Linked DNA regions of Rattus norvegicus. The protein of the gene in region 2 interacts with the protein of the main gene of each other region in a pairwise test. Links are inferred from orthologs where the notes say so. Each region holds a gene or a part of one and is shown on either strand. Other genes may lie near its edges.

Region 1 (3,516 bases), on a different chromosome or scaffold from region 2:
AAAATTACAAGAGAGTGACTTTCTACTGTTTATATTAACTAGTTTGTTCTTTGCTTCTATTCCATGGTAGTTCTGGAAATCTGATGAAATTGACTAAATTGTTCCAATTAAACAGATCTTCACATATCAGTTTACAAATTACTGTGGATTATTATTTGGATATAAAAGAAACACAGCGGGGCTGGGGATTTAGCTCAGTGGTAGAGCGCTTACCTAGGAAGCGCAAGGCCCTGGGTTCGGTCCCCAGCTCTTATAAAAAGAACCAAAAAAAAAACCACAAAACAAAACAAACAAAAAAGAAACACAGCATTGAATAATGCTTTTTAACATGGTGCTATAAACCTGAAGTGCCTGCAGAACAGAGGCAAGGGGATCACAAATTTGATTCTAGCCTGGGCTACAAAGTCACTTCACAATGAACATGGACTGCACATAGAGACTCTTCAGAGAATGGGCAAAGATGGCTGAAACAAAGTCATCAGTCAACAGAAAACTATTTACTTAGTCTACATAATGTTCTTTCCTGATCATGGATAAAACATATTTTTTGAAAAAAGAAAGGTTAATTTGTGCTACTGTACTTCAGAATTTTGAATTCATAATTTAGTTCATAGTAGAGATCAGACCTGGGAAAAGCAAAGGGAAATTATAAGAAGAGAATGTATTCAAGGATATTAGAGAGTGGAGATTAGATCTGGGAGGAGCGAGGAGAAATAGTGATCAGAGACTATGTCCAAAATATAGTGTATGACTGAGATTTTCAATTAATAAACTGGTATATGAAAATATATGAAGAAATCCCAACACAGGATAGAATATAAGCTGTGCTATTTTGGTACCCCATTTAATGAAATTTCTTTTATCTCTCAGAAGCATATTAGTCTGTATAACCATTGCATCCTCTGCTTATAATTCCTCATAACTTCAATGGAGTGGTAATTATCTAAAACTGATCGAGGATTCTGGTTGTAATCGAAAAGTCAATAACACAGAACATGACCCACCCACCGAGGGAGGCTGACTTCCACTTCCTCTTCATGCAGCTCAGAGAACCATTTCTGGACATGACGAGCAGTAACTTGTTTTTCCACTTCTTCTATGTTCACATCTTCTGTGGGAAGAAGGATGACTAAACTAAACTCATCAGCCTTGTAAGGCAATTCCAAAACTTGATATGTCATGGATGACTCGGAAAAATAACCTACAACAAAGGAAATTCATTAAATTTATTTGTCATTTTTCAGACCCATTATTTAAAATATATAGTTTCTCATATTACCATATTTTGCTCTCAACAGAGCCTTCATCATTGGAATCTTGACTGTTGAGCCATCTTTCTTACTAAAATCTGTCATTTCTGTGTCTTCTTTTCTGAATTTCTGTTTCCAATCCCCCTTAAAATAAATGGCGTTTACCAAGACCAGACGAGTCAAGGGGCCAAAGTCTTCTTCTGAGAACATATTTTTAATTTTTCCTATTAAAGAGGATGGAGAACAAAGTAGGGGGAAAAACGTAAGTAGAGATTCAATGGAACTTGCTAAAATTGACTAAAGTAAAAACGACTTGCACAGAACTGCTTTCACCAGTGTATTATGTCATCTAGTTTTGGCAACTGTAAGTGCAAAGGGCAATACTGCTGAGTACTTCACTAAGAAATAGGCGTAAACAGAAACACCAGGAAATCAAAAATGAGAGTGTTCTAGGAAAAAGTGAACAGAGCTAATAATAAACTCTCTGGTGAGATCATATCCATAAACTGTTGTTCAGACAAGAAGAGAACTATGATGTGTCTTTCTGCATATGTGTCGGTATTAAGGGATAGGTTGCCCATGAGAACGACCAAATTCAGTAGGTCAGTGAAACAGCCAAACTTCCTACTTTTGTAGCTGTAACCAGTGACCATTGCATGGTCTGATTTTGATCCTCAAAAAAAAAAATTAATTTTCCTCTTATTTTCCTGTGCAGTAAGCAATTCTTTGTCCATAATGCTGTTATTTCCATTTTCACATCTCTATAAATTCTCCTGCTTACCACCACATCACAGTCTCAATGGATACCTGTTTGTGAGCCTGCCCATGAATAGTTAAGTAGCAACTCATAAAATTACAATTTCTTCAGCACAGTCATAATAAAAATATTTTAAAGTCCAGTAATGCTTATAAGTTACATGCATTGTTATTAAAGTTTCTAACAACTAAAATATTTTAATACTGTCCTAATTTTAAAGCAAATCTAAGGTTATAATGTTTTAAACTTGGATCTCAACTTTAAACTGACCTTAGCCTTTATTTAACAACTTTGTAATTTTTGCCACATTAGGTTTAAAGGTTAGATTACTATATTTATGATAAGATTGCTAGTATTATTTTTAAACATTAACATGATCAGATAAAATATTAACAATATACTTGGGAATACAACATTTTCAGTTGACATATCTAATATATTGCTGGACAAAGATAAGTTTTCTCTTTCCATACCTGAAAAAAAATCAATGCTTGAACAAATATTATTGCTGAAATTATATCGTTAAGAAAAGAAAGGTGTCTGGGAATTAGTGCAGCAATCAATATACTTTTCAAAGCAATTCAGAGTTTCCCTGGGTTGTATAGTCTAGTGTTAATTTAAATGACAGTGAGGTGAAACAGAAGATTCCATTTCTTTGATCCGCAGTGCAATGGGAAACATTCAGCCACTCTTTACTTTAAGATATTAAAAGCAATGAATCCAACAGGAAATAACAGTTTTATGAAAATGGAAAACTTTACCATCTGTTTTGCTTTCTACCCAGGTGCTTATTGCCTGTGCAGAAGTCTTTGCATCTAGAAAATCCACCAGTTTTGTAGCACTCTGAAAAAACTCCTTGTTGCTATGGAGATACGATTCCTTCACAATGAATCCTTCTTGAAGGTAGAGGGCACTGGCAAGATTAAATGTAAATTCCTGTTTCTTCTTCGAGATGGCTGAAAAAAGTGACTTCAGCACAGAGAATTCCTCTCCTACAAAATAATTATAGCACATACTCACATATCGAGCAACACAAAAACAATAGCTTCTTGGCTTTGACACGTGTTCTGATTTATATCGCCAATTTCTCATGCTGAGACATAGCTAACCATGGAAAGTCACTATAAGGATTTTGCACATTTACCTCCCATAGAATATGGATTTTGCAGAAAATCAATGTTTATACTGGACAAAATTTAATTTTTTTCAGAAACAAAACTATGAATTTATGCAGACTGAAGGAAAGTCCCACTTTCTAATGACATTTCGATCATTTCATTGCATGAAATTTCCATTTAAGATTCTTTTCTTTACAAGGAAAGTAGTAAAGAGTATTGGTGGAGGTATGACACCGATGAACAGTTTTCAATGTTACCTTCAACTTCAAGAAACCATTGCTCTTCACTAAAGAACTGCTTCTGTTCAGGTTTCTAGGTTTACGAGATAAGCCCTATAATCATCTCTAGATTTATATAAAAATCTGAAGTGCCTGCTTGTTCAGATTGAAGA
Region 2 (4,101 bases):
CCCAAAGGCAGAGGTACACATCCCCCACACCAACACACAATTACAAGTAAGTGGGACACGGTGGTGTAGGCCTCTGAGAGGCAGAGGCATGTGAGTCTCTTGTCAGTTTGAGGCCAGCCTGGTTTACATAGTGAGTTCTACAATAGCCAAGGCGATGTAGAGAGACTGTCTTAAATTTATTTAAAAAAAAAAATAGCAACAACAGTAAATAAATAAAACTAAATCTTATAAACAAGAAGCCAAATAGCTCTCTCTCCCTTTCTCCTCTGTGGCTCACTATCTAGAGATAGTCGTGGTCCTTTTCTAAATTAAAACAATAGCAGGAGTTCATGGCTGTAATCTCAAGGCTAAATGCAGATAGGCACTGTAGCAGAAAGCCTCTAATCTCAAGGAAGCAGAGGCAGATGGATCTGACTGTGAGGCTAGCCATGACTACAGAATAAAACCCTGACTTAAAACACAAAATGATGGGCTAGAGACATAGCTCAGGGTTGCTCTTCTCTTGAACAGGACCAGAGCTCAATTCCTAGCACCCACATAAGTAGTTTACAGTCATCCATAACACAATAGGGACTACAATTTCCTAACTTCCACATGAGGAGAAGGCCACAGGTTGCAGGATTTGATATGTTCTTCTGACTTTCTTAGGCATCAAGTGCACACAAGGCACACATATATATTTCCAGACAAACATATTGCAATACAAATTATTATAATCTGTATTGCAAATACCAATACAAATATTTCCATTCACATATAAAATAAAAACAAATAAGATTTTTTAAAGGAATTGAAAATACACACATCCCAAAAGAACCATCACCACCAATGGTAAGTAATACAGGGGTTTGGAACCAGGTTCTGGAAAGGTAACTAATGAAGAAGGTCAGAAAAGAACACATGGTTCTATACAATTCAGTAGTAAGTACTCTATGCTAAGCCCAAGGTTCAAGGCCCAGTAGAACCACACACCCACACACCCACACACAAATAAATGTTCTAAGACATTTAACTATGTAAGACCCTACTTTACAAAAAAAAAAAAAAAAAAAAAAAAAAAAAAAGACGAAGCCAAGGCAGATGTGGTAATCTACAATCCCATAATCCTCTATCACAGTGTGTATAATCCAAGCACATAGACAGTAAAGGCGAAATGGTCAGAGGCAAAGGCAGCCCCGCTATGTGTCCCCACCTCCCAGAAAGACACATCAACCCTTGGTAACAGGCAGAATTAACTATCACACATATCTACTCACAAAATCTACGTGGCTTTTTAAATATCTGCTTTAGAAAACCACGAAAATGACCTGCGCATGATGGTGTCTCAAAGAATTATGCAGGAAAAACAAAAGATAAACGTGGCCACACTGAACTTAGCTCAAGACTCAAATTATGCCTCAACTATTGGCGATTCTACTTCACCGTGTATGGAAGCAGGTTTCTGTAACCTATAAAAAAGAACAGACACACCATACTGGTCTGAGGTCCCCCTGTGTTGTGTCTGGTCCCAAAGGCCAGAGCCATGCCTGTCCCTTTGGGCTGGAGGTCTGCACAGAATAGGTATAGAGTTCTCCTCTGTACCTCCCACTTCTGAGTTCTGTCAAGGTGAGGACAGGCTAAACAAAATCTGCCTCACTCAACGGTAACCACACCTCCCAGCTCAATAGGAACGTCAGATGTCCTACAGAGTAAGGGACAAAAGGGTCAATGACAAGAAAATCAGGCTCATCCTTCACAAAACAAACGAGCAAAAGGGGTGTCATCTCTACAAAGTACTGGTGTCTCACCTGGGCCCCCACAATAAAAGTCCGAGTCTGAGAGTCCAGGGTCTTCACCAGTACCTCCAGGCTGTCAGGCTCCTCCATAGCGGTACTGGTACTATCACTCGGCTCCATGGCCGACAGCTCTCTAAGGAAGAACGAGGAAGGGGGGGGGGGATGGTTCGCTGTCGGTCGCGCTGTATTTTATACACCCGGAAGCCTCTCTGGACCCAATCTCCGCCCCAATCCCTTGAAAGTTTCACATACACAAGCACATATATTCATCCTCCTCCTCCTCATCCCCCCTTTTTGATTCGGGGGCACAGGAATAGAAACACAAAGGGTATGAGATCGACGGCATAGGGAGATGAAGGACGAGAGGTGGGAGGGGCTCTACAATGCCAATCACAATAGGGAGAGCCAGTTGGGCTAGGAATCGGGGAAGCAAGCACGAGACCGATCAGAGACCAGTGTCATCACCGGTCGCGACCGAGCAAGCGCCCGAGAGATCGGGAAATCCTAGGACAACGCGAGGGGGGGGGGGAGGGTCGCGCTAGACTCGGCAGAGAAAGTAGCTTCGCGCACGCGCGCCACCACAATCGAACCCGCCTAAATCACCACAGACCCAAGACCACCGACACTCACGGGAGGCTGGATGGGCTCGCTGACCGCCCCCTCCTTCCGCCTCCGTCTTTCGTCGGTATTCCAGCAACACGACTTAACCAACACGCGGCCAAACACATACAAACACATACACAGCCCACCACCCTGTGGCTCCGCCCCCGACTTCCCCACGGTACCGTCACTTCCGGTCTCCCCCAACCTGGCACCAAGGGCCACTTCCGTTTCCCCGATAGTATTTGGGGATCTCGAGGCGGTACTTCCGGCTCCCCCAGTCTCCCCCGATTTACTTTCGTGGGGCACGATGAGAAAGTCCACAGCCCCGAGCAGTGAGTTTCTGGGGGGCGAGACGGGCCGGGGCCGGCCTAGATGGGAGGGAGCCGACCACCCGGAGGAGCCGCCGCCGCCGCCGTCGCCCGGGGGACCGCACTGCGCCTGCGTGAACCGCGTACGCGTGCGCACACTTTAAGTATTTCCCCGCCCCCCCCCTCCGGCTGTGTGCGTTTCTTCCCTGCTCGCGCCGTTGTGCTACCCGACCGGGGTGTCTACTGTAAACGCCTGAAGAAAAATTACTGGGTGGAATGCTGCACCTTCCTGGGGAAAAGAGTCTGGGATTTCTGCGTATTGCACCTCGTTAATCAACGTTCCTATCTTGACGGACATAGAAATTTACAGGCACAATTCTAACTACCCAAACCTCTGCAAGACCTCTGGTCCTCCCGTCATTCCTGCTCTTCCGGAAGCCACTCTTTTCCGTGGACGGCTTGGGCGTTCCGCGGGCTGTATTTGCTTGTGCTCAAGTTTAGTTCCTGGCGGGATTAGGGTAGTTGGACGTTTTGCAGACTTTGGCCGTCCTATTGGTCTTTGATTGAGAGCACTATGGGAGTGCCATATTTAAGGATAACTAAGCATACTGCTTTTTAGGAGCTTTTTTAAAGAAACGAAAGAAAAAAAAACGGGTGCCTTAGGGATCGGATTGAAAGACAAGGACAAGACTTTTGAGAAAGGAGATTGGAAGGCCAGCCACCGAGGGAGTTAGTTGAACAGGGTGGGACGGTTGTTTCTCTACATTCTTCCCCACTTATTCTTAGATGCCAATACTGATGAGAGTTCCAGTAAGCATTGTATATTGAGACTTTTATATGCTGTTTCAGTGTTAACTCTGAATTGCCCGGAACCCATAAAGACAATGTACCCCACACCACCACCCAGGGCAGGGTCGTGTGTCACTCTACTAGACTGTATTTACGTTTTGAGGTTTTTTTTTCCTCCGAGACAGGATTTCACTATGTAGATCTGGATGTCCTGTAACTCACAGAGATCCACCTGCTGGGATAAAAGAACTTAAATATTTTTTAAAATGCTTTTCTGGGGGGTGGCTGTATGGCCTTCGTCTGTCACAGCACAGCGCAGGTGTGGAGATCTGAGGGAAAATGTGCTCTTTCACTGCGGGGACCTGGGGATCAAAGTCAGGTCCTCTAGCTTGGCTTGCCATCCGCCAAGCACCATCACTGCTGGAACACTTCCCTAGACACACATTTAGTATTTTATTATAAAGATTTCAGGGGCTGGAGAGATGGCTCAGCGGTTAAGAGCACTGAGTGCTCTCCCAGAGGTCCTGAGTTCAAATCCCAGCAACCATATGGTGGCTCACAACCATCTGTAATAGGATCTGATGCCCTCTTCTGGTGTGTCTGAAGATAGCTACAGTGTACTCATA
Region 3 (3,315 bases), on a different chromosome or scaffold from region 2:
ACAAGGAAGACATGAAATTTTTTCATAGAATTGAACAGGAAGAATAATGTGAATTCTAAGAGTAAAGAGACACGTTTTTCTCCCTCTCTGAGTGCAAGTACAAGGGTTAGATTCTTGCTGAGAAACTAGAGGCTTGTTAGAAATGAGGCTTAGAAATGGGAGTGTCCCCAGGGAATCACCTCTTCTCCATTTTGCTCTGAACTGTAAGTGCATTTCTTTCTTCAGGGATTTTATTACATGTACTTAACTTGCTTCTTTGGAGAATTCTAAAATGGTTCTGAAAAAAGTTATTTTCTCTACTCTTCCTCATAGATTTCTCAACAAAATAATTTTTGAGGAGATAGTTGACTTTTTTTGGAATTGTGGGTGAAATTCTGACAAGCTTTAAAATGCTGAATGGAAACTAGCATATTGCACAATAATAATTTCCTACTAAACAAGAAACAAGTACCTGTAAACTGATCATTAAAATGTAGACCAACAAAAACATGGCAGATTCTCATTTTCTAAAGAAATATATCTTTATTGACTTTTTTCCATTTTCTTACAAAGAAGTTAAAAAAAAACCCTTCTTGCTCTTGATGTTTAGATGGCCAATCCTCATGAGATTGTTTGTGGAGGTGTATATTTCTCTATTCACCACAGAACAGTATCATTGCTTGGTCCCATTTTTGTAGGAAAGAATCCAAGTTTCACTAGATAATATATGCTTAGCTCTCTTCAAGAAGAATGTTGGACTAATGTCTAATTTACACACAGTGATAAAGATAAATGTTGACTCTTATGGATTAAATGCCCACTTCCTACCATAGTCTAGCTGTTTGAATATAGATGTACTAGATAGAGCTATAAATAAAATAAACTTTAATGTAATGATATTCTTTGGCTGATTTAAATGCCTGTGGTAGGCTTTATGTGAATAAAAGTTTAAAATGAAAACGGCCCCACTATTATTGTCAATCTTAACACAGAGCTTGTGCGGAAGGTCCCTATACTACTGACTGTCAGCATCTCCAGGTCCACGATGTGTTCTCTTGGTCCTGTTAGCGACTTCACAAGCACCAGCATTGCACTCACAGGGCTTGTTTGCTAAAAAACAAGAAAAGAAGGGTAGGCACAGTGATTTTTCTTGGGCTAGAGTTTCTATTTTGTTATTGTTGTTCTTAGCATAATAATCAGGGGAAATAATAGGATAGAGAAGCTCTGCTCAGTCCATGCTGGCTTCTAACTTTCATCTCTACCCTAGCCCACCCATCTACACTAGCTCCAGAGCAAGGGCTTGATTTTAAAATTCTTATTTTCCCATATTTCTTGTTAACATGTGTTCACATCGCAAATATTTTTCTTTGTTATTAACCTTCTTCTACTCATGGATTGAAAAATTCCAGTCTCTCTAAATAGTTCACATTAAAATCTGATAATCTTGAAACTGGTAAAGAAAGTAGTCATTTGTCATTTTCTTAACATTGAGTATTTGTTTACATTCTAGTAAGGAGTTAGGTAAATAGTCAGGCATGGTGGTTCATGACTTGAGTCCTAGAGGAGCAGAGGCAGGAGGGAGGCAGGAGGCAGGAGGCAGGAGGCAGGAGGCAGGAGGCAGGAGGCAGGAGGCAGGAGGCAGGAGGCAGGAGGCAGGAGGCAGGAGGCAGGAGGCAGGAGGCAGGAGGCAGGAGGCAGGAGGCAGAGGCAGAGGCAGAGGCAGAGGCAGAGACAGGCAGAGTTCAAGAACAGCCTGGTCTAGGTAGATGAATTCCAGAACATCCAGGGCTACACAGAGAGACTCTGTTACAAATAAACAAACAAACAAAGAGTTAGGTAAGTAGTATATTTAAATAGAACATGACAAATTTTAGATTATTTGGATATACATAGTATGAGTACAAAAGAATACATATATACATACATATTCCTGAAACACTGAGGTAAAGTGTTTGTAACTTTAGAGCAAAGGTCCTCAACCTTTGGGTTGCAACCACTTGGGGATGAACAACCCTTTCAGGGGGGTCACCTATAATCATTGGAAAACAGATATTTACATAATACTAGGAAAATGACAGTATTGAAGCAGTAATGAAAATAATTTTATGGTTGGGGGTCACCACGACTGTATTAAAGAGTTGCAGCATTAAGAAGATTGAGAATCTCTGCCTTAGAATCATCAAGGAGCAAGAGAAATTCTGAAAATTAACATGGTCAAAACTGGACATGGAGTGAGCATTGGAGGGTGGAAGGAGATGTTTTGGAAGAGTCAGTAAGTGAATAAATGAATCTGAACACAAAGGACAGAAGCATAGATTAAAATTAATTATCATTACAAGGGATACACATTAAACTCAGACAGATTACAGAGCCTGAGAGAGGATGGCATTGAAGGAATGGACAGAAGAGAGAAATCAAAAAAAAAAAAAAATAAAGCTAGGGCTAGAAAGATGCCCTGGTGGTTAAGCTCAATGCTGCTATAATGTAGTAGGTTGGTCTAATGTTGGTTGTATTCTAATATTAATTTAGAACCCCCCTGCCCCCGAAATAGCATGAGAGAGTTACAGAAAAGACACTGAGAGCCTCTGGTCCCAGTTAATTATGATTGGTAAATAAAGTTGCCAGCAGACAATAGCTGGGGAGAAAAGACATAGGCAGGGTTTAAGTTTCCCAGGCTTGGGATGGTGAGGAAGAGGAGAGAGAGAGGAAAAAGCTGCAATGGAAGGGTACAGGAGAGAGCTGCCATGGAAGAAGAACATATACGAGGGAGAAGGAGAGCCACAATGTAAAAGGGTCAAAAGAATGTGGCCCAGGCACTGGCTAATTGGAGTTAAGAGCAGCCAAGCTGGAATATAGAAATTAATTAGTAGTAACTTGGAGTTATTGTTAGTGGATTCTAACAGATAGGAGTTTAGACAGTAGCCTGGCTATTGTCCTGTTTAAGGCATATTAAAATATAAGGCTGTGTGCATATCTTTAATCCAGGAGCATAAATTGTCAAAGGCTGGAAGGAACCTCACACCAACATTTATTAGAATAATTAAATCAACACTCTAACATGAGGAATGGAGTTCAGATCCTAGAACCCACTCAGAACTGCCTGTAACTCCAACTTCAAGAGATCTGACATCCTCACCTGGCCTCTGCAGGCACCTAGACACCATGTGTCCATATACTCAATATATATATATATATACTCAATATATATATATATATGTATATGTATATAAACATAAATAATTTGAAACTAGAAAATGAACAAAGCAGAGAAGAAATAGATGCTTAAGTGAAAAACATGTAAGTGGAGAGCAGTGTCCAGCAAAGCAAAGGAAAATG

Evidence for each region.
Region 1: the proteins of Bag6 (region 2) and Serpini2 interact in a two-hybrid assay, tested with the Homo sapiens proteins (2 studies listed by BioGRID and IntAct). The two-hybrid records come from large-scale screens. The link is inferred for Rattus norvegicus from reciprocal best matches to the Homo sapiens genes BAG6 and SERPINI2.
Region 3: the proteins of Bag6 (region 2) and Efemp1 interact in binary tests that used the Homo sapiens proteins (3 or more experiments, as listed by UniProt). The two-hybrid records come from large-scale screens. The link is inferred for Rattus norvegicus from reciprocal best matches to the Homo sapiens genes BAG6 and EFEMP1.

What each region holds. Positions count from the first base shown.
Region 1 is NC_086020.1:162,332,874-162,336,389, forward strand, and holds part of Serpini2 (serpin I2 precursor), read right to left. Parts: intron 3,000-3,516; coding exon 2,769-2,999; intron 1,475-2,768; coding exon 1,280-1,474; intron 1,202-1,279; coding exon 1,009-1,201; intron 1-1,008.
Region 2 is NC_086038.1:3,690,521-3,694,621, forward strand, and holds the start of Bag6 (large proline-rich protein BAG6), read right to left. Parts: upstream 2,810-4,101; 5' UTR 2,561-2,809; intron 2,555-2,560; exon of another isoform or gene 2,504-2,554; coding exon of another isoform or gene 2,406-2,503; intron 2,318-2,405; exon of another isoform or gene 2,028-2,317; intron 1,909-2,027; coding exon of another isoform or gene 1,896-1,908; coding exon 1,788-1,895; intron 1-1,787. UniProt on the Homo sapiens protein: ATP-independent molecular chaperone preventing the aggregation of misfolded and hydrophobic patches-containing proteins.
Region 3 is NC_086032.1:106,888,149-106,891,463, reverse strand, and holds the end of Efemp1 (EGF-containing fibulin-like extracellular matrix protein 1 precursor), read right to left. Parts: intron 1,090-3,315; coding exon 928-1,089; 3' UTR 503-927; downstream 1-502. UniProt on the Homo sapiens protein: Binds EGFR, the EGF receptor, inducing EGFR autophosphorylation and the activation of downstream signaling pathways. May play a role in cell adhesion and migration. May function as a negative regulator of chondrocyte differentiation.